4 linked regions of the Lonchura striata genome follow. The protein of the gene in region 3 interacts with the protein of the main gene of each other region in a biochemical or structural test. Links are inferred from orthologs where the notes say so. Each region holds a gene or a part of one and is shown on either strand. Other genes may lie near its edges.

What was found.
Region 1: the proteins of UBE2I (region 3) and ZNF451 form a complex in vitro, tested with the Homo sapiens proteins (2 studies listed by BioGRID and IntAct, with this or other methods). The link is inferred for Lonchura striata from reciprocal best matches to the Homo sapiens genes UBE2I and ZNF451.
Region 2: of the proteins of UBE2I (region 3) and HDAC4, one has a biochemical effect on the other in vitro, tested with the Homo sapiens proteins (3 studies listed by BioGRID). The link is inferred for Lonchura striata from reciprocal best matches to the Homo sapiens genes UBE2I and HDAC4.
Region 4: the proteins of UBE2I (region 3) and TOP2B form a complex in vitro, tested with the Homo sapiens proteins (2 studies listed by BioGRID, with this or other methods). The link is inferred for Lonchura striata from reciprocal best matches to the Homo sapiens genes UBE2I and TOP2B.

Annotation. Positions count from the first base shown.
Region 1 is NC_134605.1:89,238,955-89,246,595, reverse strand, and holds the start of ZNF451 (E3 SUMO-protein ligase ZNF451), read left to right. Parts: upstream 1-4,633; 5' UTR 4,634-4,760; intron 4,761-4,805; exon of another isoform or gene 4,806-4,910; intron 4,911-5,298; exon of another isoform or gene 5,299-5,469; intron 5,470-5,709; 5' UTR 5,710-5,712; coding exon 5,713-5,793; intron 5,794-7,641. UniProt on the Homo sapiens protein: E3 SUMO-protein ligase; has a preference for SUMO2 and SUMO3 and facilitates UBE2I/UBC9-mediated sumoylation of target proteins. Plays a role in protein SUMO2 modification in response to stress caused by DNA damage and by proteasome inhibitors (in vitro).
Region 2 is NC_134610.1:36,921,237-36,929,001, forward strand, and holds the start of HDAC4 (histone deacetylase 4), read right to left. Parts: upstream 3,008-7,765; 5' UTR 2,872-3,007; intron 2,426-2,871; exon of another isoform or gene 2,331-2,425; intron 1-2,330. UniProt on the Homo sapiens protein: Responsible for the deacetylation of lysine residues on the N-terminal part of the core histones (H2A, H2B, H3 and H4).
Region 3 is NC_134618.1:17,602,464-17,609,718, reverse strand, and holds the start of UBE2I (SUMO-conjugating enzyme UBC9), read right to left. Parts: upstream 3,012-7,255; 5' UTR 2,562-3,011; coding exon 2,506-2,561; intron 161-2,505; coding exon 82-160; intron 1-81. UniProt on the Homo sapiens protein: Accepts the ubiquitin-like proteins SUMO1, SUMO2, SUMO3, SUMO4 and SUMO1P1/SUMO5 from the UBLE1A-UBLE1B E1 complex and catalyzes their covalent attachment to other proteins with the help of an E3 ligase such as RANBP2, CBX4 and ZNF451.
Region 4 is NC_134603.1:118,068,405-118,076,045, forward strand, and holds the start of TOP2B (DNA topoisomerase 2-beta), read left to right. Parts: upstream 1-4,627; 5' UTR 4,628-4,957; coding exon 4,958-5,014; intron 5,015-7,641. UniProt on the Homo sapiens protein: Key decatenating enzyme that alters DNA topology by binding to two double-stranded DNA molecules, generating a double-stranded break in one of the strands, passing the intact strand through the broken strand, and religating the broken strand.

The sequences.
Region 1 (7,641 bases), on a different chromosome or scaffold from region 3:
ATTTGCATTAAAGTAAAAATTAATTTGTTATAGGTAAATGTGTGATGTTCTGAAGTGTAAAATTCTGATATGAGCAACAGAGGGTACATTATTTGCAGTCCTCAGAATGGGAGAAGATTGATGGCTGCTACAGAAGCTGTAGTAGTGACATTAGACTGTATGGCATTTAGTAACTGGAGATTTACTACTGAAAAGGTAAGCAATACTAAAACTAATAATTTGAACTATTTATTCATATTACTGTATATTAGATTGAATTTGAAGGTTAGCATGGAAAAAAAATTTGGTAACTGTTTATCATGAAGTGGTCAGAAAAGTGCTTGTTTTCTAAGACAGGAGGAATATTGAGATATGTGAAGAATTGGATAAAAGCTTTACTGAAAAAATATACTGTTTAATGAATCAAGGAGTTAAATGCATGTCGAGTTCATGTCCCCTGTTATTAGGGTATATAGATAGGAGTAAAAAAACCAAAACCAATAGATATCTGAGTTTTCTAGATCAAGAGTAAGTGGCACTATGCCATGTTGATACAAGAGGGAAATCAATGGTTATAAAGGCAATCAGTGTTTCACTTAAAGGGAGCAAGGAGAGAAGCAAGAATGTTGAAATATGTTTGAAAAATATATTTGAATTAGAATCATAGAATTGTTCAAGTTGGAAGAGACCTTAAAGATCATTTAGTTCCAACTCCCCTGTCGTGGGCAGAGACATCTTCCCCTACCCCAGGCTGCTCAAAGCCCCATCCAACACTTACAGGGATAGAACATCCACATTTTTTCTGGGCAACCTGTTCCAGTGCCTTACCACCTTCACAGTAAGGCATTTCTTCCTAATAATATTTTATCTAAACCTACTCTATAATTAAGGGCATATAGTGAATACGTGGAATTAGCTTCTAGAGAGCATTACTAAGTTTATAAAGATCGTCTGCTCTGAAACAGCTTCCACAATCTATGTGATATCTAGACTTCATTTGAGCTTTGGACTTGGAGATCTCATGAAGATCTAACAAAAACCCCTGCTCCTTCTTACCTAATCTCCCCTACGCTCCCCAGCAAGTTCTGCATAAGAACACCCCTAAGCTGGCCCAAAGCCTGACAACTGTTCTTTCACAGGAATTAGATGAAATACACAAATTTTGGAATTCAGAATTTTGTTAGCATATTGTAAATTATTGCATGGCAACTCCATTACTATTTTTTTTCCATAACTGTATTGTTTACATACAAGGAGGAAATTTGGACTGGTCATTGCAAGGGTAAACATTTACATGAATGACTACTGAAAAATTCATATTTAATTGAGCATCATTTGCATAGAGTCTCAGAGTTTGGAAATACAATTCCATCATGCTGCCCTAGTAACTTTTTACTACAGGTTGTTATATTATCTATTCTCAAGAATCAAAAGTTATTAAGTGCAAATACAAGCTACAAACAGAATGACTGCTATCAATTTTCTGTTAGCAAATTCAAGTTACTAATGCAAAATATTAAAGTTAAGGCAGCAACAATGACTTTCCAAGTGACAGTCAGGTTTCCATTATTTTAATAATGAAATAAAAGTAGACAAATGAGTGTAGTTTATATACTCCAACAAGAGTGATTAAGTCGTACAGCTGTTGAGGATATAACTAGTAGATATAACAAGCAGCTCAGTATGTCTATCTTCTACCATAGAGCTGTTTTTACATTCACATGGAAAGAGGCTTAAAACTAACACTAGTAACTCTGTGTTTTCAAGAAAAATAAATGCACTAATTAATCCCTACACAATATTATATTATATTGCTGATAGTTGTTTATTCTCTTGCATAACACCAAAATTTAACAAGCAGCCTTGAATTCTTTCTCTCCTGTGTCTACAGGATTTGATAAGCACACACCAGTGAAGTGCTTTGCAGGTGTGCAAGCAGCTCTTTTATACTGATACACCACTCACAGGTGACATTTACACTATTCAGTTTACTCAAAGTCAATGCATTGAGTAAAGATGACTCATACTGATTTTTACTTTGGTGGCAAAAAGTAGCTATATGAACAAGCAGGAGAGCAGTTGCAGATAAATAGCAAGAATCATGGGTGTGGGGGTCTGAGTGATGTTTTCTCAATCCTAGCAGTGAGGGGGCACAGATAGGACAAGTCAATACTTGTTGGCAGAACTTGTGTTGGTGACAAGGATTTGAGTTGTATGACCATGAGACCCTGCTTGCAAATCACGTTCTGCTTGACAGAGATGAGATCCACCTCTCTAAGCAGGGCAAAGCTATTTTTACCATTAGGATTATGACCATGTAAGCAGAGATTGAAAGTAATAATTAAGCAAGAAAGTAACCAGCAGCCTTGTGGGGTGCGGTGGTGTGTCTCTTCTTTAATTTGATATTTGTTCAATGTCTGTTCCCCCCATCCCTAATCTCCACCTCTCCCCAGTTGTCAGTCTTCCCTAGCTCTTCCCTAACCCCTCATCTCTAAGTTGTCAATCCTCCCTTTCCCTACCCCTTTCCCTAGAACCTTCTCTGTCATTCCTCCTAGCCCCCTCCACTGCTTCCAGAGCGTTCCCTGTCTATTTAGTGAGGCTCGACACCCTACTGCTTATTTTGTGTTATTCCACTCCCCTGCTTCCCCTGATAGGTTTGTGATATGTTAGTTTTGCCCTAAACTCCTCCCCTACTATTCCCTTATTGGTTACTGTTCCTACACCCGTCTTCCTGAGTTCTTGTATAAAACCTTTGCCCCCCCCTCCCAAGGGGGTCTTGGGGCTCACTGAATAAAACCATCCTGTTCATCCCCAAGTCCCATGTCGCCTCCGTCTGTTCCCTCACCACCAACTGGGACTGCAGAGTTCATAGGGGGAGCGGCCGCCCGTTCTCTTCCCTCTCGCCGCCCAGCACGGCACCGCTCGGGGTGCTGCGGCAAGAAGAGTTTACAGCGATGCAACAGTGGGGAATCGATGGACACTGAAAAAAGTAAAGGGCATAAGGTGATATGGGAGAAAGAGAACACAAAATCAGGAAGATGGAGCTTAGGAGAGATCACCTTCAGCTCTTGAATGTAAGCAAAGAAATGTCTATGAGACACCATAATGGAGAAATCTCCCAGGTCCTTTCCTAGATAGGAGCAGCCTTGTATTTGTAAGCCCTTGTACTAATGTGGGAGTTCAACCATTCAGATATTTGCTGGAGGGACAATACAGCAGGACATAAGTAATCCAGGAGGTTTCTGGTCATAAAGGAGTCAACAAGGACCAAGAATGAACAATGCTTTGTTGGACCTGTACCCATGAAGGGACTGTGGGAAATGTAAAGCTCAAGGCAACCTTGGCCACAGTGAACATGAGATGGTGGAGCTCCGGATCCTGAGGGGAGGGTGAAGAATAAAAAACAGGCTCATCACTCTGGAGAGTGAATTTTGGTATCTTCAAAGATCTGCCTGGAAGATCCCATGAGATATAGCCCTGGAGGCAAGAGGGGCCCAAGAAAGCTGGTTAATATTTATGGATAACTTCCTCCAAGCACAGGAACAGTTTATCCTTGTGAACAGGAAGTTAGGCAAAAATGCCACTACGTAGATGAACAAGGAATTCCTGGTCAAGCTCTAACACAAACAGGAAGCATATAAAGCATGGAAGCAAGGATGGCTTATCTCAGAGAAATACAGAAACATTGCTCAAGCATAGAGTGATGAAGTTAGGAAAGATAAGGCACGACTAGAATTGGACCTAGCTAGGGATGTCAAAGACATCAAGAACGGCTTCTGGAAGAACATACGTGACAAAAGGAAGACAAAGGAAAATGTAGGCCCATTGATAAATGAGACAGATGATATAGTGACACAGTACATGCCTCAGTCTTCACTACCAAGACCGGCCTTCAGGGATTCAGGCTCCAAAAATCAGGGGGAAGGGCTGGACCAAGGAAGATGTACATTTGGTGGGAGAGGATCAAGACAGGGAATATATACACACCTTAGCAAGATGGGCATATGCATGCTAAATCTATGGGCCCTGACAGGATATGCAGCAACAGGTGCTGAGGGTGCTGACAGATGTCATGGCAAGATCACTCTCAATTATCTTTCATGGGTCATGGGGTCTGGGACTGATGCCTGAGGCTGGAGGAAAGAAAATATCACCTCCATCTTCAAGAAGGGCAGGAAAGAGGAAAGCAGGAAGAACCACAAGCCAGTCAGCCTCATCCTGATCCCTGGGAAAGTAATGAAACAGCCATTCCCAAAAACTATCTCCAGGTATCTCAGTGACAAGAAAATCATTGTGCTGTCAGTATGGCTTTACCAAGGGGAAACCAGGCTTGACCAGATTGACAAACTTGTGTGATAAATTGACTTCCCTGGTAGATGAGTGGAGCAACGACCATTGTGTATCTGGACTTCACCATTGCCCTTGGCAACAACGCCTCCCGCAAGATTTTCGCAAAGGACGTTCGCAGATGCCCGGGCTGGACCGAGCCCCGTGTGAGGTGGCTGGGGCTGGCCGGCTGAGCAGGCACAGCACGGCAGCGGCACTGCGGCCCGGCCCGACCCGGAGAGGCGACTCTGCCGCCTTCCCGCCCCTCGGCTGCCAGCCCCAGCAGCCGCCCTTCCTCCTCCCCGGAAGCGGAGAGCGGGTTTTCCCGCGCCGGGCCGGAACTCGATGCAGCGCATCTGGAGGCGGGCGAGGGGAGAAGGGAAGAAGGAGAGGGCCCAGAAGAAGGGAAGAGCCCGGCGCGCCGGCCCGGGAGGCCGCGCCATGGCGCTGCCGCGGTAGCGCCGGCACTGCCATGGGGAACGCGGGGCGCGGCGGCGGCACCTCCCGATCCCGGCGAGCCGTGCCGCGGCCCGGCCCCGCCCCCGGGCCGCAGGGGAAGCGGGGACGCGGCGGGTCGGGCCTGTGCTGCCCGCGGGGCCCGGCGGGTGAGCGGGGCCGGGGCGGGCCGCGGGCCGGCGGTTGCAGCGGTCGCGGCGGGGCCCGGCGAGCCGCGGCTCGGGCAGCGCGGCGTGCGGAGCCGTGCGGAACCGTGTGCCGCCCGCGGAGCCGTGCGGAACCGTGTGCCGCCCGCGGAGCCGTGCGGAGCCCGCGGAGCCGTGCGGAACCGTGTGCCGCCCGCGGAGCCGTGCGGAGCCCGCGGAGCCGTGCGGAACCGTGTGCCGCCCGCGGAGCCGTGCGGAGCCGTGAGGAACCGTGCGGAGCCCGCGGAGCCGTGTGCCGCGGGCCCTGCGGGGCGGGGGCGTGAGTCAGCAGCGCAGCCCCCGCCGTTGCTTTGGAGCAGGAAGCTCGGCCCTGCGCCGCGCTCCTGGAGCGGCCCGCTGCAGCCGCAGCTGCTGAAAACGCCCGAGCTCGCCCGCAGCTGTTACGGGCCGGCCTCGGCTCGGCGGTCCGCTAGGCTGGAGCTCGGGTCTCGGCTCTTGCTGGGGTTTCAGGTTCAGGCATGTCCTTGGGCTGCTACACTGCAGCTACGGCTGCTGGAGGAGTGTAGGTATTGGTATGCTTTGTAGATAAAACCACGTTTTACAGATTAAAAATGGAGTAGTGTGATTCCAGTCAGAGTTGTTTATCACCACTTGTGGTGTCACTGGTAATTGGGAGTGAATGATAGAGACTTGTTGAATACAGATAGACTGCAAAGCCAAATAAGGCGTAAAATGGAAAATACTGTTTAGTTAAATTAAACTTAAAAAGTGAAATTCTATAGTATATTTTGTTTCTGTTTAGATAATGGAATCTCATAACTCTGACAGCCTTCACAAGAGTAAATCACCAGCTTCGGGAAGTGAAGATGAGATTGAGTTCATTGGAGTAAGTAGACCTTGTACTGGAAATATACTGCTTGTTGTAAAAAATACACTTTCAGTAGTCCAGTAAACAGGAGAGGGGTCTTCATTGACTCTGTTGATGATGATTATCTTTTGATGTAAAGCATTACTCTTGAATATACAGATAATTTCATTTGTGAATGTTTATGGCAGATACAACTCCATCTTAAAGGAGTTTATATGCCCTTTCTTGGAAGGGTGTAAAATGATGTCATTGGCTCTGTAGAGAAAATGTGGTCATAAATCATTGCTCATTCTGCAAATCAATGTTGAAATCAATGTACTCAATGTAGAAGAGGAAGGAAATACTAGGTTAGAGGCCTTAAACAATGCTCTCAAATTGTGAGGCAGTCTATTGTACAACACAGTCTAATGCTGGCATGCTTTATGTGACCACGAGACACTTGTATCTGTTGAATATCCAAGAGAAGCAGAATGTTTTTCATGCTGTCTGTGTTCTGGCCTCAATCTGGCATCATTGAAGTGGTGCTGGATGGCAGGATTACATGGAATTATAGAATTGTTTAGGTTGGAAAAGACCATTAAGATCATTTTCTGCCGCTGCAAAGCTGAAGCCCCCTGGCTTCACCTGCCTGGCAGAGGCACAGTTAGCTGCAGGGGTCACTCCCCTGTGTCTCGAGGAGAGTCAGGGAGCAGCTAAGGCAGAAAGTCACACTTCCTGCCTTGTTTGGAGGAGAGGCAGCATTTGGAGGAGATAATGAGTGGCATGATTTAAGGCTGGGGAAACAGTTTCAGGTTTAATCCAGGCTCCGGTAGAAGATTTGGGAAGAATGGGTTGGGGAGCTGAGAGTGATGGATCAGGTACCAGGGAGTGGAGGGGGAAGTGACTAAGCATTGTCAGGGAGATTGGCACTGAGAGAACGGCAGGAAAACTTGGGGTGGAAACACAGGGAGAAAGTGGGGAGTGGAGGGACAAACCATTACAGAGCTGTTACAGAAATATAAAAACACAATACAACAATCATTGAGTCCAGCCATTAACCCAGCACAAAACCATGTCCCTAGGAGCCACATCTAAAGATGTTTTTCTTGAAGGAACAAGTCATATTGCTACTGGTATTCACTGATGCCAGTATTTTTAGTGGCTGGTTTTTTTGTAGATTTGTCTCATTTTTGAACAATATGCTGAAGAATTACTAGATTCCCCCCCATTTTGTATGGTGTTTGCAGAAAAAGTCTGTATGTTGAACTTCAGCTTTAATCAGAGGTATTTAGGAGCTCTGGTATGAAGGATAGGGATTTTTTTGCAAAAGTTATAAGCAGTTTGTTATTTCTGAGATGTCTTAATATTTTGGTTGATTTAGGCAAAATTGATTGAGTTCAAAGTTCATTATATACACACAAGTATTCATGTGCATCTGCAGAGGAGGTCTTTGGGTTGTTAGTGGATGAGCTGGCAATGTGTGCCTGCAACCCAGAAGTTCGAGTGTGTCCTGGGCTGTGCCAAAAGCAGCGTGGCTAGCAGGGTGAGGGAGAGGATCCTGCTGCAGTGATCCTGCTGCAGTCTCTGGTGAGACCCCACCTACAGTTCTCATCCAGCTCAGGGGTCCTCAGCATAGGAAGGAGATCAATCTGTTGGAATGAGTGTGGAGGAGGGACACCAAGATAATGAGAGGGGTGGAACACCTCTCCTGTGAGGAAGGACAAAGAGAATTGGGATTGTACAGTCTGGAAAAGAGAAGGCTTCAGGATGACCTAATTGCAGCTTTCCAGCACCTGGAGGGAGCCTACAGAAAAGATGGAGAGGGGCTTCTAACAAGAGCATATAGTGAGAGGACAGGGAGGAATGGCTTCAGACTAAGAGTATGTT
Region 2 (7,765 bases), on a different chromosome or scaffold from region 3:
ACCGTGGAGGTCACCGATATCCCACACCCGGACCTGCATCTCCTCCACCTGTTATCTTCCACCCTGGACTTCTCAAGAACTTGGTAATTCACACCTAGCAGTTCTCTACTTTAGGATTATCTGTTTAGGAGATTTTAGGAGATGGCAGCACACAGACACAGGCTGCCCAACAGACATCTCCTCCCAAGGGAATACAAGCTTTTCATGCCATACGTGTGCTTCCTTCCATGCCTCCATCCTGCTGAGCAAATGACAAATTCTTCTGGTGTTCTAAGCCAATTTTCCAAAATGCTTTCTCTAATCTGTCTCCTTTCTAAAGCTAAGTCCTGAAACAACACAAACGAAAAAAAAGCAGAGTGGCAAAGTTAAAATTGTGAAGATTTAAAGATATTTTTCCCTAAGTTTAGACCATCAAGGGCACAGCTTAATATCAACACTGGGAATCTGTCAGATGCACATGCCATCCATGGACGGAGGGAAAAAGCAGAGAATCCTGGAAAGCAGCATCTTCCACATTTCACTTTACCCAGAATATCTGCAGTCACTAAAACTTACTCTAACTGGGTGGCATTTTACATTTCCAAATGTAATTGAGTGAGCGTGTTGCCATGGCGACAGTAGGGTTCTGCAATAACTTTGTTGCCTTGTAATTGCTGTATATTTGTATACAAGCAGCTGAGCTTTCCTAAATTCAATGCCCTCAACTCTTCCAGCGAGGCTGCAGAGCGTCGGCAGCAGCTTTTTAGGCTGAGAACTCCTAACAGTGGTGCTGGAAAGATCAGAAATTATTAAAACTCAGCGCCGCGACCGACCGCGTTACACACACACACACAAGAAAAAAAAAGAAAAAAAAACCACCAGGAAACCCGGCCAAGAACCAGATTATTATATAAACTTCAGAGCTCCTTAGCTTTTAAAAATGTTGCCGTTGCAACAACAACAACAAGAAAAAAAGCACAATTCAGATAATTAACTCCAGGTAGATTTGGCAACAAGCAAAGCACTTTGAGGGCAGGGAATAAATGCGGCATGAGTCCCATTTATTGACAGGGCATAATAGCAGTAAATCAAAACGCACTGGCCAGGGGATTATTCACTCTCTGTAGCTCCCGGGGCCAAAATAACGCTTGCTCCATCTCCGCGGCCTCAGACCAGCGCTCTGAGGACAAGGTGATGCGGCTGGGGAAACGAGCACCGCACCGAGCTGCCTGGTGGGAAAGAAGCGGCAAGCCGGGAGAGAGCCAATGCCTCGCTGCACGCCCCATCCCAGGGTTTTACAAGGCATTTTCACACCCTGAATCCACCCACACCTTCCCGGCACAGATCCCCACTCCTTGGGAGCATTTTCAGAGCTGTAATCCAGCCCGGAATATGAAGCAAGGCTTGAACACGAAATCCTCCCGTACGGGCGTTAGCGGCGACGAGTCTGATTTATGCAAATCAGCCAAAACAGTCTATTGACAGGCAAAAAAACCACCAAAACCAGCACCTTCCCCTGCGGAGTGGGCGCACAACACAATTACGCAAGTGCTTTGAGCGAAGGGCAGGTTGCCTTCCCGTCCAGCCGCTGCCCAGCGCCGAGCACTGACAGTCAAATTATTGTTATGTAAATCCATCTGCTCCGCCGAGCCGTCACAAACACCCCCGAGAGCACATCTGGGGCAGGCAGCGGGCAATATTTTGGGGGAGCGCCGGGATCGCGCAGCATCTTCCCCTGATAAATCCCTGCAGCAAAACCCACACGCGGCTGCTGGGCAACACCTCCCTCTCTCCGCGATCCTCCGCCACCCCAAAGCTCGGCTTTTTCTGCTTCATTTCGCCCCATGCAAGCCGAGGCTTGAGGTTTCGCAGCGGCACACGTGCTTTATCCCCCCTCGAACCCCCAAAACCGGAGTTGTGGCGGCGAGGCTACAGCCCTGGGCCTCGGACCTGTGATTGCCATCGCCGGGCTCTCTGAGAACGCCGCGCTGCCGAGGGCAGCACCCCCTGTTTGCTCCTCCCGGGCACAAAAAAAAAGCCATTTTGGGGCATTTTCTCCAGGAGGAGGTGAGTGCCGCGGGGCCCGAGCCCGACAGCCCCGGGGAGCGGGGTGAGAGGACGCAAACTTTCTCCAAGTCCCGCGTTATTCCCACGACAAGGACAAGGGAAGGAGGCCCGGGAGGAGAGGATGGAAGGACCGATCCCGGGCCGCGGCCCGCCCGTTGCCCCAGGGCCGAGCCGCGGGCGTCGCCCCCTCCGCAGGGCCGCGCCCGCCCCGCCAAGCCGCGGCGCCAGGCCCCCGTACGGCGCTGCCCGCAGCCCGCCGCTCGCTCGCCTCGCCGGTCACTCACCGCTGCCCGCATCGCCTCGACTCGCCCCGCACGGACCGAGCGCCGCCGCCGCCGCCGCCGCCGCCGGGGGGGACGAGGCGGAGCCGCGGCCGCCCGGGAGGGGCGGGGCGAGCGCGCGGGGGGCGGGGCTGCAGGCGGCGGCGGCCCCGCCCCCCCATTCACAAAAAACCGGGCCCCGCGCGCTGAGTGGGCGGCGGCGCTGCCCGTCACGCCCCCCGCGCCCCGCCCGGGCCGGGCCGATGGCGCGCGGGGTCCCCGCCCCGCCCGGCGTGCCGCCCAATCAGCGCGCGGCCTGGGGCGCTGCGCGGCTCAAATCCGCCCGCCACCACCGCGCGGGTGCCTGCGATTGGCCGCGCCAGCTGCCCGTCACCTCCCCCTCCCGCGGCCGCGGCGCGGCGGCGACCAGCGGCCCCCGGGAGCGGCCCCGCCGCGCCGCGAGCCCGCCGGGCGGGGAGGCGATCGGCCTTAAAGGGCCGGCGCCGCGGGCAGCCCGGGCGCGGGGGCGGCGCGGCTCGGCGGCGGCGGAGCGGCGCGTACTGACCTGGGCGGCGGGCGAGGCGGGGACGCTGCGCGGCGATGGCCCCCCCGGCGCGGAGCGCGCCACCGACGGACTCAGCCCGTGACGGGTTCCGCCATCTTGGAAATCTTTTTAGATGGAGGAGTCACGTGGTGCGACCATTTTTCCCCCGCAGCCAATCGGCGGGCGCGGGCTATTTATAGCCGCGCGGGGGGAAGGGGACCAATCGGGCCCCGCCCCGTGCGCCCCCGGTCACGCCCCGTGGCGCGCGGCCCGTCGCCATGGCGACCGGGGGCGGGGCAGGGCCGCCATGTTGGCACAGAGCCCGCGGGGATCGGGGGTCGGGACCGCAGGACCGGCGTCTCCAGCCCCCACCTGCGATCCACGCCGTAGAGACCACAGTGTGATAAAACGTGGAACTCTGGGGTTTTTTACCCCCCGATTTTCTGCACCCACGGTCCCGCTCCCTCATGGGCCGTCCTGTGTTTTCCGTCAGGTGTCGCCTGTAACAGCAAACAGCTGAAGCGAGGGGTAAACGACAGAAAGGACAGGGCACGGTTCAACATATTTGCTTGAATTACCGAGAGGAAATTTAAAAATGAAAATAAAAAGGAGTTCTCCGGTAATGTTTCCCTCTACCCCCGTTTTCGCAGCAATTTACTGATTTTTGAGTTGTACGTGGAATTACCCATTGAACTGACACATCTCGTTTCACTCGTATTTTCTTGATTTATGCAGTGCCCAAAACTTCCCAAGTCGTGCTCCCAAACATTCCGGACGATGGGAAGGAAAACACTGCAGTATTGGGTGCAAGAAGTTCATCCTGTGGGACACAATCCAGTGGGAACATCCCACCGGCGATGTATCATTCCATTACTTCTGTTTCCCAGAGAAGCTGTGGCTGCCCCTACATCCCTGCAAGTGTCCAAGGCCAGGCTGGACAGAGCTTGGAGCACCCTGGGATAGTGGAAAGGAGATTTCCTGCTAAGCTTCCAAGGAATTTCTTCCCATCCTTGCCTAAGGCAAGCTGAAACATGACATTCCTTACTCACAGGCAGCCATCCCAGCACGCTTCTGGTGGGTTTGATTAATTGGCTCTCGCTAAATTGTTTTTTAAAACTTCCAGATTTCCCTTATAGCAAAAAAAAAAAAAAAAAAAAAAAAAAAAAATTTAAAAAAATAGGAACTCCTGTCATTCAGCCATCTGGATTTACATAAATTTTGGGACTTGATGGGAATTGCTAACAACTTTGTCCGTCTCTCAAATCTGCATATACATGGTAGTATATAAACACTGCTCCTTTTCTCTTTTACCTTTTCGGAGATATTTACCACCTCTGATTTCATTTGAAAGGGCCACCCTTACAAAAACCCTTGGCATATTGATCCAGCCATTAAAGTTTCGGGATTTTTTTCCACGTTGTCCACAGGCTCCAGGAAATGGTGACATTTCCGTGGAATACACACCTGAGAGCACCACTGGCATTAAGAACACCACTTCTGCCTGAAGCTGAAGCCCTTTTTGTTTCATTTGCAGCTTCTTTAGGCTCGTGGGCTTGTTTGTTGTTCTTTGGTTGGTGAGGTTTCACAGAGTTGCTCTGCCCTCTTTATTTGGGGCCAGCTGTGCGCTCGGACGGATAAGGGAACGTGTGTATAAATAACCTCCCAAATTATGTTTGAGTGCCAAGAGACCTGTGGGTGGAAGGCCTTCAGGGCCAGAAGGTTACCAAAGCAGGGCAATATTTGCCAAGGCAACAGGTGTGCTGCTCATGGCTGGTGCAGGGCACGGCTGTGGCAGCCAGGTGAGTGTCTGCCCTCCCCTGCAGTCCCCATTTCTGCTCCAGCCAGGGGGAGAATTGGTCCCAAATCCTTAAAACGTGGGTTACAAGCAGCCCAGCTGCCTTTCCTCGCTGCACTGCTAGAGCAGTTTGGAAACAGGAAACAAAAGGAGAGAACTGTGCCCTGGAAGTTGCCACGAAGTGTAAGTTCTACCTTCAGGTTTTGATTGATGCTGTACCTGTGGCTGTGGGTGTGAGTATGTGTCTCTATTAATACCCAGTCTAGGCTAACCTATGCATAATGGCAGAAAATTAAACCTTTGTCGTTGTGCATGGAAATTAGACCTCAGATTCACAAGGGAAAGGCTTCTTGCTATATGTTCAATCCAACATATTGGCTATAGCTGTATATAGTCTGTTTTTGCTGTATTTGCAGCTGAAAAACTTACTCAGAGGCCTGTTGAAGCAAAAAATAAAAATCTAAAATAAAAACCAACACCCTGGCAGAGCTAATTCATAAAGATTTAAATAAAAAGCAATTACAGAACTTCACGCCTACCTCCACCTCATCTTTAGCTGAACTCCTTGTTTGTCAGGAATGATTCCATTTCTTATGTTCTCAAGCAGGAAACAGCCATCACAACACTCCAGCTAATTTCCCTCGCTAGTCACACGGAGCTGGTGAAAGGAAAAGAGAGTGCTTCAGTTTTCCACTCCACAGCCTAAAAAAAAGGAGGATAGAGTTAGGAAGAGCGCCAGCAGGAGCTTCCTCTGGAGCCTAGACACCAAGTGGCAGTGACACTTGGGTCCTTGGAGAAAAGTCAAGCCTAGACACAAGTTCCAATCTGATGATGGCTCCCTCTTCTTCCTCCTGATCATTCAGTCTCCATCACTGACCTCCCTTGGTTTTCCTGTCCTACCTGTCACCTTTCTGTGCTATTTCCCACTCCCTGCTCTGTATCTGTCCCACAGTATACTGGTTTACTACTTTTTGCCATCAAAAGGAAAACCCCATCAAACCCACATAATTTACAGCACAGCTCTGATGTGACTGGGAATGTTAAATTTACGTTGCCCCTTCCTGTGTTTTCCTCCAGCATACCTTTTATTGTGGAGTTTTGTTCGGTTGTTACTGGTTTTTTAATCCTGGTGAGTTTTGCTTCAGCTGTAACTCCTTGTTCTCTCTTTGCCTCACAGCTTGCTTTGATCCAGAACAAGGTGGTTCTCCTCCAATTCGGAGCCCCCACGCCTGTGTTTGGCTGCAGGAGCTGCTTCCCAGCTTGTCTGCACACCTAACACTTCATCAAGTCTGCAGCACTCAGGGCCTGAAGAGCTGAAACCCTGAAGCAGTAAGAGCCAGACTCTTAGAAACAAATTATTGCTGTTGTTTTGGGCAAAATCAAGTCCATGTTCCCCAGCTGGGGGGAAAAACAAGCAAGTGAAGTTCAAAGTGGAGGTCACAATGTAAAGTTTGCTTTCTTCTCCATACTTACGCTTTATTTTTGCTGATGGAGATATATTGGATTGTTATGGCAGTCGTTTTACAATGTCTGAGTACAAGACACTTTTAGAATAAAAATGTTTGCCAATTTTGTTTTCAGTATTTTTCTGGATTTCTATAAGCTTCCTATTTATCTAGCAGCTATGCTCTCAACTACATTATGGAATAGCCTGACTTGGAGGGGATCCACAAAGATCATCATTCCTACTGCAGAGAGAAAAATTATTCTGTGGCCATTACAAACAACTGCCCAAAAGTTCTTATGGTGTCATCATCCCTCCAAATGAAACTGAAGAATTAAGAGTATGAAAGAAATCTCTTTTCCCCCTCAATTGTTTGGTTTTGTTTTTGTTTTTTTTTTTTTTGTTCACCCCATTTTAGTAGCACATTAAGGCTTAAATTGAGATAAAAAGCAGAAATAAGTCTAAAATTAATATGGATTCTTTGTGACATCAAGGCTAGAATAACTGATGGATACACTTTGTTTATCAGTGCTCATTTTCCAATTATTAATATTAAAAATAAAGGAAATGTGTATCAATTTATTATATTTCTTTTCATCCAGCTACTGGAAGAAAAATGTGGGGTGTGTCTCTCTGTAGTGAGAAAACCTTCAAAGAAATATTGATCCATTTTTCTATTCGGCCTCTTTCAACCAGGCAAAAAAAAAAAAAAAAAAAAAAAAAAGCATCATCCAGGGTGTGAAAAACCATTAAAATCTAAATAAATGTAAGAAAAATATGACCAGGGAAAAAAAAAAAAAGCAAAATAGAAAAATAGAAATAAAAACATTTGCAGCCTGGTCCCTGGGTGTTGGTTTTATGTGAAGAGACTGACTTGCAGCTGGATGACGAGTAGGATATTTTTCTACTGAAATATTGATAGTAGATCACACTAAACCACAAACTATCTCCAGAAAGCCCATCATTTCTAATCCTAATGGTGTTTTCTTTCCCTTGGCTGACTGCTACATTCATGAGATGATGGCTTTATTCTATCTGGGGGAAAAACTTTTTACCATACAGCTAAATTAACTTGTCAAAAGACTTCAAACTTCGGAAGCTTTTACAGCCCAATTCAAAGCTATTATTCAGGATTGAATGAGAAGGCTGTGGACTGTAAAAGCTGGCAAAAAAAAATAAAATAAAAATTTCAGCAGCATTCAGGAGTTGAATGGAGGGCTCACTTTTTGTTCAGGTTGTGTGTGTTTCATTGAGCTGTCTCAGAAAGAGTTGGATTTTGGTATTTTAAAGCAAAGTGCTTCTTTCTGCTGCTCTGGAAGCTTTGACCCAGTCCATGCTCTTTCACACACACTTGGTTATATTTAGTTTGTGCCAACCTAAATAAGTGTCAACCAGCTTTCCAGAAATGTGGGGAGCACAAAAGAGAACGACCAGCAGCTAAATTGAGGCAGAACAAGAACACAATTGGACTTATTTTTATCCTTTTCTTTTAAAATCAGATCACAAACTATCTTACAGTCAGCTACAGCTTTCTCATGCAAATAAAAATGCCTGGCTTCAGGAGCAGCAACTTTTAGATTTTGCAGACAAGGAGCAGCTGGCAGAGCTCGTGCTTGGAGTCTTTCCTGACGTGGATCCAATCTACTTTGGGACAAATCTGGAATAAAAAGCCAAGC
Region 3 (7,255 bases):
AAAATCCTATCAGGGTAATGAAAAAATCATCACCAGAACACTGAAACAATTGCAGTCAGATTTGGTGGCTTTGGTACTTACAAACGGATGATCTTTTCTCCAGGCTTTTCTCTCCTGTGCAAGTCTGCTAAGAGCTATGCCAGACATATTCAGAGTCCCTCTGAAACAAAAGTAATTGCTGTTAGCATATACTTTAACTTATAGCATAAACAATGCATTATGTGTTTATAAGCCCCTGCTCACTCAAGAGTAATTTTGACCTCTCATTTTCACTTCAATAACCTAGCCACATGTTTCTCACAGCTGGCAGAATTTATCATCAGGAATAACATCAAATTTCCCTATGCCATCAAGTTCTTAGTTACTGGACATGACCTACAAAATTCCATTCTTACCTTATTGTTTTATATTTGAACCCCATCTTCGAAGAAACTTTGACAGTAGTTTGACAATAGAAACAGTATTAGTAATGGAAAAAGTGTGCAGACTTCCTACTTGTGCAAATGACACACTCTTTATCTCCCTCCTACACCACATGCAATATGGCAAGTTTCTTCTGTAGGCAAACACCTGTATTACTCCCATTTCTGCAAATGGGAATAAGAAATACTACTTTTTGGGTAAATTCCCATTGAAAGCCAGTATTCCCCACAAAAGCAACAGGGGCATAGAATTTAACAAAGTCATCTCAGTTTTGCAGTGATGCTGCTATAAAACTTCTAGACAACATCAGGAACAGGCAGCAACTTAGCTAAGGAAGAGCCAGCAGCTCATTGCACAAGACAGATTTTCAATTCCAGTATAAACTGAAGACTATTTCTGAACCTTCACGGCCTTAGTAATAGCCAAGCATGGTAACCACCATAATAAACCTTTTTGACAGCAGAATAGTAGAATGCTTCCACTTGAGCTCACAGAGTGACTCTCAGCAGTGTTACCACTCTATTAAAACAAACCCTTATACACTGGTTAAGGATTATGCAAAATTTCACAACCTCTCAATATGTTGATTATTTATAAGAAGTACTGCAGTCTACTACTATTATAAGCATATGAATTGTAGAACTTTAAGCAGCTTATGCAGTTCCTAGAACAATATCTATTTTAAATCTGTTCTCCAACCTTTTAAGACTGTTTTGCCTAGATGGCCATATTCCCTAATTCACTTTCAAAGTAGCAACTAAATTAATGTCAGATAAAGCTTTTTAAAAGGGACAATTCACACTCAGTGGACATGCACACACACAAAAATATTCCTATGTTCAGTCTGATTTTCCTCCAGTAGTCCCAACACATCCACCTCTGTATTAATTATGGCAGAAGACTTGCAGGACTTAGGGAATGTGTACACATGACTTCAGATTTTAGTCTGCTCACAAGCTGGAGATGCAGAGCCATTGAAAAAAATACCAGTAGAACTGAAAAAAAACCCAAGAAACCAAAGACAACAAAAATCCTCTCCCTTAACCAAATTATACAGGCTGCAAGTTTTACTATGTCATGAGCAAGTTTTAATATGTTGTAAGAGATGTAAATGAACTGAATGTACAGCAGAATTTCAGCTGTGCCTTTGGTACCTGGTAGTCCACTGTACCAATACTAACTTTCCCATCACAGGCATATTTGCTTATAAACCATCCAAATATTCCCACATAGTTCACCAAACTCAGCTACCTTTTCTGCCAAAAAAATGCATTACAGGATGCTTTCAAATATATTTATTCCATTTCCTGTGGCTAACAGCCAATTAATTACAACATGAACCTCAAGGGAAACGCCAGTTTCTCACTGGGTAAATAAGCAGCGGATCTTCTGCAGAACATCAGTAACCCAGTAACTTTTTGAGTAATTGAAAAAAAAAAAAAAATCCCGAGTACTTGCTTTTCTTACACACTATACTGTGCCTTAGTACAATAAAGGTTTTTCTAATGGTCTACAAATAACTTTCCAAATCTTGAGGCATTAGACTTAGTTAAGCACTGAAAAATTTCAGCATGTATGACAGACAACAAGCTTCACATATATGGTTTCCATAGACTTCAGTTACACTGACGAGCAGCTAAAACCTCATCAGTCTAACAGAAAATAAAGATTAAACAAGACTGAAAGCTCATTTCACAAACTAAGATCCCATTAGTTAAGCATCCCTTCACAAGCTAACTGGCAATATAAACTCTCTATATCCCAATCTATTTATGTACTACATTAACAGAAAGAATTTTACACCAGAGGAAGTCTATTCAATTCTATTTTGTGGCACATGCCATGAAAGTCAAAGAGACCACTCTTCACGTTTTGAGTTGAATCCCCCAAATTCACCCCTGCCATTAAGAGGTAGTAATGTCCCTTTTACTGCCATCAACTCAGAAAGTTAACAGAAACTTCCAAATTTACTCAATAGCTTGCCTTTGCTGCTGCTACTGCCTATTTTAAAAAAAGGACGAAATAAAATCATCACGCTTATCATAAATGCAAATTTTTGTGTCCCATTACAGAATATCTTACCCATTTACACTCTCCGATGAGGTGGAATAACCTACTTTCAGACACAAAACGCACATCTCGCAAGGAATCGTTCCTGTGCCACAAACAACTCTCTAAATACATCAACAATATGCTCTTTGAGGTTCAAGAACTTTCAGTACGACTTATTGATTCCAAGCAGCAAGAAAAAAAGTCCCCAAAACGTTAAGATTGCTAGCCTCATTTTTTACTTTGCAGGTTAAATACTGACATAGAAAGTCAGTATTATCGAAATAGTTTGCCCCGAACTATTGCAACTTTATTTTTCAGAAGGGTGGAGAAAGCCACGGTCTAAGCTTTAGTCAAAGCACGCTAACTCTGGACTAGGATAGAAAGTCTCCTCTGCTTGCGGCAAGAAAGGTAGAAGAGGCCGAGCGGCGACCGGAGTCGCTCATTAAACAACAGAAGATGCCGCGCGGCGATGGGCTCGGTGTTCGACGGCCAAGTGAGCGGACAGGGCCGAGGCCCGCCCGCCACCACCGAGGGCCGCCGGTCCCGTCGGCCCCGCGAGGGGCCGAGGCAGCGCCCAAGGCCTGCACGGGGCACCGCGGGCCCGCCCGCCGCTCCCGGGCAGCCACCCGGCGGGGCGGGACGGACCGCGCAGACCGAGCGGCTCCACGCCCCGCTCGGCGACCTCCGCCCGCCACCGCCAAGAGCTGCGAGCCGCTCGGAACCTCCGGCGGGCAGCGCCGCGCCGCGCCGGCCGGCCCGGCCACAAGGCAGCAGTCGCCAGGCCCGCACGTCCATCCGCCGCTCCCGTCCCGTCCCGCCGTAGGCGGGGGGCGCCCGCCCGGCCCGGCCCCGCTCCCCGACCCCGGGGCCGCCGCGGCCCCACTCCCGGGCGGGCCTCACCGAGAGCCGCCGCCGCCGCGCGTGTCCCGGATCGAGGCCGCGTCAGTGACCCGGATGTTCCCGCTCCCGCCGCTTTGTCTCCACTCCGGAGTTTCCCTCCCTCTCGCCTCGCCGACGAGCGCGAAAGCGCTATTCTGTCCCTCGGCCCGATCCGTCTGTGATCCCATCGTCACGCTTTGCGCATCCTCACGACACAGGACCCAGAGGTGCCCCCAGCAGTGCCTGAGTACGGAACACTAGAAACCCCTCCGCAGGGCTACACCGAAGCCGAGCACCTCCCGTGCCTTCCGCTGCCCCGCTCCGGCCGAGAGCCGAATCAACCTTTACCTCTGGCGCTCCGGGAGCCGCCTGTCGCTTCCGAAGGCCTGGTGTGTCGCCGGCGCGCTCGGGTCTGCGGGCCGCGCTCCAGCCGGGCCGAGCCCCGCCCCTGCCCGGCCGGGCCCGCGGGGCGGGGCCGCGGCTCCCGCGGCACTCCCGCGGCGGCGGCCGGGCCCGGCGGCCTATCGGAGCCGGCAGCCGCTCGGGGGCGGGCTGCGTTCGCCTCCGGCCCGCGCTGCTTTCGCTGACCTTTACGGGATTTCTGACCTGGGTTTGGTTTCCTTGGCGGGGGACGAGTGGGAGGGATGTTGTTTGGGTTTCTAAGAACACATTTTAAATGGCAAGTGGAGTATGAATCACATTCTATTCCCATCTTGAACTTGTCTTTCTTAATGAAACTGAGGAATTTTTAGTCCTGAAATCGCTGCCTTGTGCTAGTCTGTATCAATGTTACTTGAAAGATGTTCTATGTAGTATTAATGCTCAAAATGGTTTCTTCAGAAGTCTAGGATTGACTATTTCAATAAATAATCACCTGGATTCCAATCAGCCCTAATCAAAATCTTCAGCAAAGATCACTCTACCTAAGAAACCTTTCAACAGGGGCAAATGCACACTGTAGACCAGGATAAATACATACTCCCCTGTGTAACTTTCCACACAGTGACATGAAAAGCAGTGGAAACTGTCAACACCTGGCTTGCAGGACCTCTCTCACGAAATTGTACACATTACAGTCTCTGAGAATGTCACATACATGTGTGTATGACTTATGAGGCAAGAGTTCAGCACACTGAAAGATGAACAGCACCCAAAACGGTGAATTTGCAGGATCATTTTCATCTTTTTGAAGTGAAACTTCTCACTGAAATGAAAACTAGTGCCAAATGAACCCTAGATGTTATAAAAGATCAAAACAGGTTGCTAATGACTAAGTTGTTTATGTCCCCTTTATAACCTGGTTTCTAGTTCAGGGTAGACACTTGTCTCTTTTGTGCTCTCATTTTTCCTAAATGGCGAAAACACAGCAACAGGTATATAGAATATGAATTTGGATTGAAAGTCGTGCTGGCTGACTCTAAAATATAAATATTTTTAGTAGGACAGTCTGATGAAAATACAGGTGCACACACTGATTACTTAATTACTGTAATTGCTATACTTGATTACTACAGCAGTGTTTGTTCTTAGCACTTATTTTAGTAAAATTCAAATGCAATTAAATGCAGCAAAACAGTTTAGTAAAATTAGAATTTTACTGATGTTGCTGAATATACAAGGAAATAATAGAATGTGCTTTGCACTTAAAACTGACTAAACTGTTAAGATGAAATTTGCTTCACATGTAACTATAGAGGCTTTAGGAATTTAAAAATCATGGGTCTTAGCTTCTCAAGTTCTTACTAGCAGTTTGGGAAGTAAGAGCTGTCCAGTGGTCTTCTCAATACTAATACTCAATTATAAACTTTTCTATAGTTGTAGAGGACACAACTGTCAAATTTCCTGGATAATTTCAACAACCTGTACTTTGTACTTATAGTTTACTTCCTTAAGCCATTTCTATCCTTGAAACTTATTATATGTTTGACTTATTACAAAGCATCAATTTCCAATAGCTTCGTTTTTCAAACAAAGGAAGCACTTATATTAAAAAGCAAACTAGCGGATTCTAGAATGTTTGCTGTTAGGCAGGGTGGTTTTTGAGTTGTGCAAAAGAAAATGTAAGCAAAGTCATTAGTTAAAACTTTTTCATGTGATTATATATCCATAGAAGAGACAACTATTTCCTCCTACAATAACCAGCATGTCACAGCAACTGCAAAGGAAAATAATTTCCCAACTGATATATATCTGAATAGACCTAACTTTTTTGTGACAAAGTCTTTGGGGCAGCAGTAAAGGATACTTCTTTACAGAGAAGAAAGCATTAATGCTTTGAATCACTGCACAAATGTGCAACTACATTTTACATCTCAAGTGCTAAACTAGAATTGTCACAGGATATGACACTATTAATATCAATTAGTGCATTTAGAAAAGACAGATGTAAGACATCACACTTTAAAAGGGAAAAACCAGGTTTATTTCATGCAATTTACAATACACTAGTGTTATGAAAAGGAAGTTAAAAAAATACCCATACACATTTCATTTGTTTGTTTTGAAAGTGATGGTTAACTGTAACCACCTTCAAATTATTTGGGAAGCCCTAGCAGATTTTTTTCCAGGGAAATTTCCCTGGAAATTTCAGTTTCTTCAGTTTCTTGTCTAGTGTCTGTGCTATGAGTTTTGGTTAATGCAAATGCATTAAAACCAAATCCTAACTCAAATTTTGCTGCAGTAAGAACACTTCAGAGATAATGAATTGGCACAAAATAAAGTGTTATTGCTAATCCACTATCCAGGAAATGACATGTTGCAAGTATGGCCACTTGGGTATAAGCACAAACAGCTGATGCACAACTAATTTTGAGACCAGTGATTTGGAGGGAAAGGTTAAAAAGAAAAAAAATGTTGAATTGGGTAGGTGATCCTAAAGAGTGCACAGGAAGTTGATTTCTCACAGCTAGGTTGAGGTAAGAAGCAGGTGGAAAAAGCTGCCATTTGATACTGCTTCAGTCCGGTGATCTAATTCCAGTAGAGAGGTTGGTAACATTCCTTTTAAGAGGGCCTTGGCACTTGCTTCTTTCTAGCAAGTACACATGAGCCAAGTTAATGTGAGTAAAGTTGTGCATAAGCTTTTGGAGAATCTTCAAAAGTAGCAAGAATCATATAGATAATAAATACTTTTATTCTTACTCTTTACTCATTTCAGATGACAAGGCCTCAAAATCACAACAGGTCTTGGGTCAAAATTTAGGCTTAGCTTTCTAAGGCAAGGAGAGCTCTGTCACAGAACCTCTTCCCTTTCCACTCACCCCCAAAGTAGCAAAATGACTTTAAAAAAAGTTTCTCTTGTTATAGTACTTATTAAGATACAATATCCTCAAGTTATTGTGAAATGTCTTTCCAGACAGCCTCCAGAAAGCTGTATTTGCAGAAGTATCTACTCACTGAACTTCTGAGAAGTTTATGCCTTGGCAGACATCATTAAGTAAAGTTCAACTAAGTTGCAAAGAAATATTCTGTGACAATTTCCTGGGGCAGAATCTTCCTCAAAGCTTCTCTATTACCAGTGCTGTTCATAAAAGTTGTTATATTTCAGCAAAGGCAATAATAAAGTGGACGGTAAGTGTACTGTCTTCTCTAGTGTGCTCTTACCCCATCTGGATACTGAAAATCCAAGCCATATAGGAACACTTACATATGCAATTGGTTCAGACATTTGTAAAAAATATTTTAGAGTCCATGAGTTGAAATGGACTAGTTGTTTTTTAGAAATTGTATGTCTCTTGAATCTCAAATGAGCCCTGGAAAGCATTTTAGCCCTTAGCATTTTTGGTCTGAAAATGAAAAGAGTTCCTTCTCTCAGTCATTTAGGCAAACTGGACAATAAGATCTATTTAGCCCTTTAAAGCTGCTGTTCATTAAGAAGCTTTTAAAGACAGCTCCTGATTTTTGT
Region 4 (7,641 bases), on a different chromosome or scaffold from region 3:
ACATTGTTTTTGTCCCTCCAGGCATTTGCATCTTTTTCTACTGCCACCAACTCTTCTTAAAGACTCAGTGGATGTCTGCATGGGTAGTAATTCTATTGATGTTGAGATTTCGTCCCAGTATGGCCAGCTCAGCTTCCCCTGCTTCACCTCTGCATGCAACATCTCTTGCTGTGTGTGGTCACTGCACAAGGGAGCTTTGTCCTATACAAGGAATTTCAATACAAATATATTTAATTTCTATGACCAGCCTCTGTTGAAACAGCAATTATGCTGCTCAGTGAAAGTGTATCACAATTCAAGACTGAGCTGACAGTGAGGAGATTGAATGGGCTTGGATGCCCCTCTAGTCACAGATAAAGTTTACAAGTGACACAACTTTCCTGTTCTGTGTGAGAGACTGTGCAGCTCAGGTGAGAGGCCAAGCACGTCAGGTCTGTAACACACCCTGCCTCTCCTGCAGCAGGGAGGTGCTGCCATCCAGGAGGAAGTCAGGTGGGTCAGTGTAGCAGTCTCAGCCATGCAATGGGCAGTCCAGGATGGAGCCCAGGGGTCCATCCTGTAGCTAACCCTGGGGATTCTGCTGGACTTCTTCCCCAGCAACAGCCTGGCAGTAGCATTCACAGCATGCCCCACTTGAGTTTTCCACACCTCTGCCAAGAGCGCAGCACGTAACAGGTTAGTCACCAGAGGAAGAATTGGAGGGCAAACAGGGTTTAAGCAGACTGTCACAAGTGGTACATGTTTCTGGAGGATTAAGATGGAAATTACCTGATGTTTTTCAAGAGACTGGCTGTGGAACAATCTGGCCCCAGGAACAGCTACTAACAAAAGTGCCATGGATACATCAGGTATGTAAGTCCTGGGCACATTTCAGCTGAGAGTGTCGTGCAGTGCATTGACAGTGCACACCCACAGAAAACCACTAGTATGGCCTCTTGCTAATTCAATGAAGGTGTTTGAGATACAATTGTGTAAGAACACATGACCTGGCTAAATGTATATCGTTAGGTGATCCAGCCATGGGTAGGCTTCTCTTAAATACTTTGGAACCGTGGCATGAAGGTCATTCGCAATCAACGTAGTACAAATGTATTGGTCACTCTCATATTGTACTGCCGCAACCCTACTCAATAATTTGGTCAATTATTTCAAAATTATGTTAATGAATTATAATGAAATTTTAAAATGCAGTAGAATATGGAAAATATTTTATTGTGAGTGTAGATATTTAATATTAAAATATGCAATGTTTGTTTATACCTCATTACAACTACATACAATGTGGAATGTATAATGTAATGGGCATCAACACTTAGTTTCATAAATATTTTAGCAAAAATTTACACTTTTTCCTGTGTAGTTTGCAGAAAAAGAGCTGTGGTTGGTCATTTAAGTAAGTGCTTGTATCTGAGTATGTTCACAGATTAGATAAATGTACATAGTTTCACAAATAGTCATATTTTAGGCCCTTTAACTCTGTGTCTAGAAAAGCCACATTGAAAGAAAAGGTTTTATTAGAGAGCAAGTAAACTAGAAGCAGTAAGTAACTTCGAATAGATGGGAAGTTTGTACATACCAAGTATAGAAATACTTAAAGATCATACGTACTTACTGCTAAAATGATTGAACACAAAGTAGTATTACAATAAATATTTTGCTTAGTAAAAGCACTAGTGAAACTGGTTTAAGTAGATCATTGATTTGAAAGCCTCTAGGATACTTCTGTTTATGTTATGGTCTACAACTGTGAGAACAAGTAAATCTCCAATGAATTGAAATAGGACTTTTCGTGTACAATCTCAAGGGGATTACCAATTTAAAATGTCACACAGTAAGTGTGAAGTATTTGACATGAACTGGTAGTGCATGATTTGGGCAGGTTGCATTCAGTAAAGTAATTCCACTCCTATCAAAATGTTATGGCACATGAATTTGATTCATGCTCAAATCTACTTCTGTGTTTGTTTTAACAGGGATCTCTTAAAATGTGATGAGCAGTCTCATTTCACTGCTCCACCTCTGCAGTCCACAGAAGCAGCTGCTTTTGGTCTCATGAGAACTTTGTTCCACAATCCTATATGACTAGCAATGCAACCACTCAGCATACACATATAAGTATTAGGGATAAAAACCAACATCAGCAATAAGCCAGTAAAATGCCGTGCAGCTAGCATAGTAAGGATGAGAATTAAATAAAATCCAACCTGGACAAAGTAATTTCAAGGACTAAAGAAAATGCTTGAGGGAACATCAGCATTTCCTCATAAATTTGCTGCAGTGGGACACAGACTGAACATGTCTGACCATGCATGTTCAAAGAGCAGTAGCTGCCAAGAAGAAACTCCCTCTGTCTCTCTCTAATATATATGGCATTGGCTGCCTTCAAGTTAGATTGCTATCTTCTGCTTGGCTCACATTGCAAAAGGCACACTTCCCACACTAAGGACAGCCTGTTTACTAAACAGCTGGAGCTAATGAGAACATAGTATACTAATGTTTGAAACTTGCTCTTTTTCTGCTGAATACAGAAATGGTCCTCTACCAATGCAAAAAGCTGTGACTAGAGGCACTCCTGTTTACTCTGATCCACGCAATATTCATTGCAGCAGTTCACTGTACATGATTAATTGTAATGGGTTCTATATATGAATTTGAGATTTTGGAAAAAAAAAAATCAACACAGTTCTAATCAGCAAGCTCAGAATTCTGAAGCACTAGGCATAACCCTGCAAGTGTTACCTTGTGATTCTGCCAAAAGTAGAAGAAAACACTGCCTACAGCTCAGAGGCACATGGAGCTGCAATAAAACTAGGCTGGAGCAGATAACTTACTGTCCCTTCTAGGCAGATGCCATTATTTTCCATAATCCTTATGCAGCACTTAGATATTAGTTTAATAGCTTCCTTAGAAACTGGCAGAGTAAAATTATGCTAAATAAGCAATATTTACTAGAAATTCTTCTGATCCTTCCCTTGAGGCATAATTGAACATTACAACTGACTCCTCAAAAGTGGCTGTTTAATTTCCAATCCCTTTACTCCTCCGGAAAAGTATTTTGCAAAAGGAAAAACCTTTAAATAATTGCTCTTCCTTTGAAATGGTTGTCTGATTTGTCTGCTAGTTCAGATGCAGTGGTCCTACTGATCCCTCCTGTTGAGACTTTACATTCTTAATAATTCAAGTAATGGAACAGGTTGGACTGGGTAGGTCCTTTGCATTTCACACAGCAGAATGAAAATTGCTAATTGAGAAGCTGATTATAATATTTACAGTTATACATATATAAGTATTATATACATTTGGTGTAAAGTATGCAAAGCTGTACGTATTTTTTGTGCTGATACCTAAAATGACATGAATTTTGAGCTTTATACAGACACTGGTTAGACCTAGGAAGTAGATGGTTTTTGGCCACAGCATTTTTTTCAAAACGGCGAATAGGGTTGTACTACACAGGGTTGGTTGTGTGCTGCGTACAGAACGGGGTCCTGTGCTGTGTGACCCTCTATGAGGACTTCACACGATGATGCTCAAATGGAGGATAAAGGTCTGTGAGCTATCCGAGTTAAAGAGCTCCTCGGGCCGATCCCCAGAGCCCAGAAGAGGGCAGTGGATTGTAAATACACTCCTGCCTGGAGCACTGGGACTTCCAGCCTGCTGGTAACCGCCGCAGGTCGCAGCGGTGGCAATTGCAGGGACCAGTTACGGGCTGGCGGAAAGGGGACAGCTGCCCGCCGAACCCTCGAACACCTGGCCCACCTACCGCATCACCTCTTCTCCGCCCACGCATCGCAGCATCATCCACTTGGAACACCAGGAAAACGGGACAGCCGTGCTTTGCCAGTCCCCACACCAATGCCCCTGTGTAGTCACGGGAAAGCGAGGCGTCTCCCTGCCCGCCGTCACAGAGCGGGAAGAAGGGGCGAGGGTGCCCGTCGCTGACCCGGCAGCTGGGCGCTGCTTCGCCGCGGTCCCTATCCCGATCCAGCCGCCCCATCCCTATCCCGACCCCATCCCTATCCCGACCCAACCGCGCTGCCTCCCCTCGCACCGCCCCCCGCGCGCGCGGCAGCGCCCCCGTGCGGGCTGTTCGCGCCTTGTTGCCACCCTCGGTGACGTCACACGCGGCTTCTCCTTCTGGCTTCTCGGATTGGCCGGCGCTCCGCGCAGCCTTCCCGCCTCCAGCGCGCGATTGGCGGGCCGGCCCGTGATTGGCGGGCAGAAGACGCGGGGGGAGAAGAGGCCCGGGCCGGCTGCGCGGGGAGAAGCGGCCGCGGCGCGGACGCCCAGCGGGGCCGGCGCGGTTATTTATTGTCTACGCGCGGTGTCCCGGCGGCGGGAGCGCTTCGGGGGTTGTGTGGGGAGAGGAGGGGGAGGAGGAGACGGCGGGGGAGCGGCACCGGGCGCCGGGACGCAGGGTGGAGAGAGGAGGGGAAGAAGGAGGGGGCCGGGCCAGTCCCGGGTGTGCGTGTGTGCGGGGGGCGCGGGGTCTGCGCGGGAGCGCGCGCGCGCGAGGGGCGGGAAGGCAGGGAGTGAACGAGGGAGGGAGGGGACGAGGGAGGAGGGAGGGAAGGGGAGATTTTTTTTATTATTAATCTGTTTTCCGGGCCTTTGTGGCTGCGGGGGGGGACGGCCCGGAGGTGAGGAGGGGGGCGGGAGGCAGCAGCGCTACGGCGGCGATAGCGGTGGCTGTTGTTGCCGCCGCTGCCGCCGCGAGGCGAAGGGACCGGCCCGTCGTCCCTTTAAACTAGCGAGAGCCGCAGGCCCGGCCGGGCCCTCGCTCCCTCTCGCCTCCCCGCCGGCGGAAGGGGCGCTTTGTGCGGCCCCTCGGGCGCCCTTGCTCGGTGCCGGGCGCCGGTGAGGGCGGGCGCGGAGCGGCGCCAGGCGCGGAGTCGGTGCCGGCCCTCCCGGCCGCCTCCGAGCGCCCTCGCCTCGGCTGAGGAGAGACGGGCAGAAAATGGCAAAGTCTGGAGGAGGAGGAGGCGGCGGCGGCAGCGGGGGACTGACTTGGGTGGTAAGTTGTGGGGCTGCATGTTGTTCGTGGGATTTGCTGCTCGTGTTTTGCTATTATTACTACTGTTATTTCCGTTTGCGTCCCTTGCGTGTGTGGAAAGAGCGCGGGTTGGCTTTGAAAGGAAGGGAGAAGCGGAGGGCTGGCGTGGAAAGCGAAGCGCTGTAGGGCCCCCGCCGCTCGGTGGAGGGCTCCGGGACAGGAGGAGGAGGACGGGGCTCGGAATTGATGTTACAGGAGGGGAGATTTTATCCCTCTGGGGGGCTTCTTGGGGTGCTGAGAGCCGTAGGGAAGAGGTCAGTCTGTGAGCAAGCAGGTGGGAAACTTCTGGGGGTAGCGGGTGGGTCATCAGGGCTGTCTTGAAGCTGCTGTCCTCCAAAGCGAGATATGGTCCGTCTGACCCACCAGAGTTGCCGGTATTGCCTCTTGTTCCTAGAGCAAAGCTAGCAGAGGGTCTTTGTGTTGATCCTGTTTTCTTTTCCAACTGTGTGCAAGGACAATACCTGAAGTTCCCAAGTTTCAGAGACAGGAAGCAGGAGCTGTGTGCTTGCTGTTCCATCTTGGCATTCAACTTCATCATCCTGCAAAAGTTGTAACTCTGTAACAGACCCAAGAAGGGGGTGTTTTACTGCCTTTCGTGGATTGGTCGGAAGTATTAAGATTCGGGAGGGTGCTGGTGATAGCTGACTCTAGAATTGATGAATCCTTTTTTGAACCTCCTTATAGTCCTTTGAGAGTGCTGGCTCCCAATGCTGAGGTGCTTTCCTTGTCAGTAGTAAGAGTGATGCTCTCAGGTTTTGGTGAGACCTGAGAGGAAGGAGGAGCAAAGGTGACCTGAAGGGATCTGGTTCAGCCAATCAGTAACTCCCCTGCTTTTCTCTTGCTCAGCATTGAGGGGTAACTTCTTTAATGTTTAAGCAGAAGACACTAGATCTTGATGGACAGGTATCTTTAATCAGACACATGTGCTTTATAGAGGTGGGAACTTTTAACGAGTCTTAACAAGCAAACTTGTTCTTGTGTCCCTCTATATCTTGGAGCTGTTGAAAATGAAGTATTATTAGAGTGAACAAATCCTGTATGTTCTGCTGGTGGACTATTTCCATGGATGTAATTACTGCATTTTATGTTGGTAATTCTCTTTAATTTTAAGAAGTTGGCAGCATGGAAAGGTATATTAAAAAAAATGTGCAAGTTTCTGGGTGTGCCACTTGAAATCACACAGTTTAGCCATGGGAACATGTCTAAGCTGAGCAGCTATTCTCCTGTCTTTTCACAATATTTTGCAATCTTTATCAACTGTGGTCTTTGGATGACTTTTCAGAATTAAGATTGTACCATCTAGGTTCGACCAAGTAATTGAAAGTTTTACAGCTCATACAGAAAACTGCAGAATGAAGTGTGAAAATTACCGAATAGGCATTTTTATTGAAACATGTTCTTAAATGTAATGGGGTTGAAATTATGGTGAGTCAACAGTTTCCTACAACTGGAAATGATCAAACTTTTCATTCTCTAAATGTAGTAAAAGTTAAAAGTGTTTTTGTCAACTCAAGAGTAGTTGTAGGGAAATAATTGGCTTTTAGTTGGAACTGTGTTCATTTATTTTTTCAAAAAACAGTGGGACATTCTTTCTTTCTCTCATGTGCATTTTAAATGGTGAAGGTAGGATTTCTGAGCCAGCTCCTAAGACCAGACCTGTTCCATGTCAGCTGTAGAACTGGCATGCAGAAGAACAATATTGTTGTAGCACTGAATTGAATGGGGCCATAGCCTGTGTGCCAGGCTGAAACAAATGTTGGTTTAGGTGGTGGTTCATTTGTAGATGATCATATGATGTCCTTGAGGAGGGTGAGAAGGATAGATGTAGGGACAGAATAGTTTCAGCTGTCTGGCTTTAATCTGCTTGGCATGTATCTGCTGGATATGCAACCACTTGCAGTTCAGTTATAGGTTGTTTTGAAACCACCTTTATTTTCTTAGAATTCTTGCTAGTGTGTTGAAACCACTAGGATGCTTCTCTGTCTGAGTAATATATTCTCTATAGTCTGTGGTTTCTTAATAAGACCATGAGTTAAACAATTGAAGGGTAACAGAAGAAATGATTCCTCATCTTTTGTCCCTGAAGATGAGGAAATAATTTAAAACTTGGTGGGATGTTAATTTATGTTTCAAATAGCAAATCCTGTGTACATAATGTAGTTGCTCACATTTTAGTAAAGAGTTGTGTGTATAACTTCAGCTTTGGGTGTGATTCAAAGAGAATGCTTATAGGTAGGAAAGAATTACATGCAATTGTGAAAAAGGAAAGATACTTCCTATAATAGAGAATTTACTCTAGAGTGAATTTCATAATGAGACATCATACAAGCATCAGATGATACCTAATTTTACTTTTAAAAGAAAGAAGAATTAAATGTTTATGGAAAAAAACAGCAAGTCATCTGTGTTTTCTGCTGTAACAGGATTTGGAGAAATGTAACTACTTAGACACAATTACCAGTGATGGAACACATCAGAGTACAATAACTGAAAATGTATATTGGGAAAATAATTTAGCATTATTTAACTGGAGACAAACCAAGATAACCTCTGATTTATTAAATGTACTTATTTGGTTTTTTAATTGC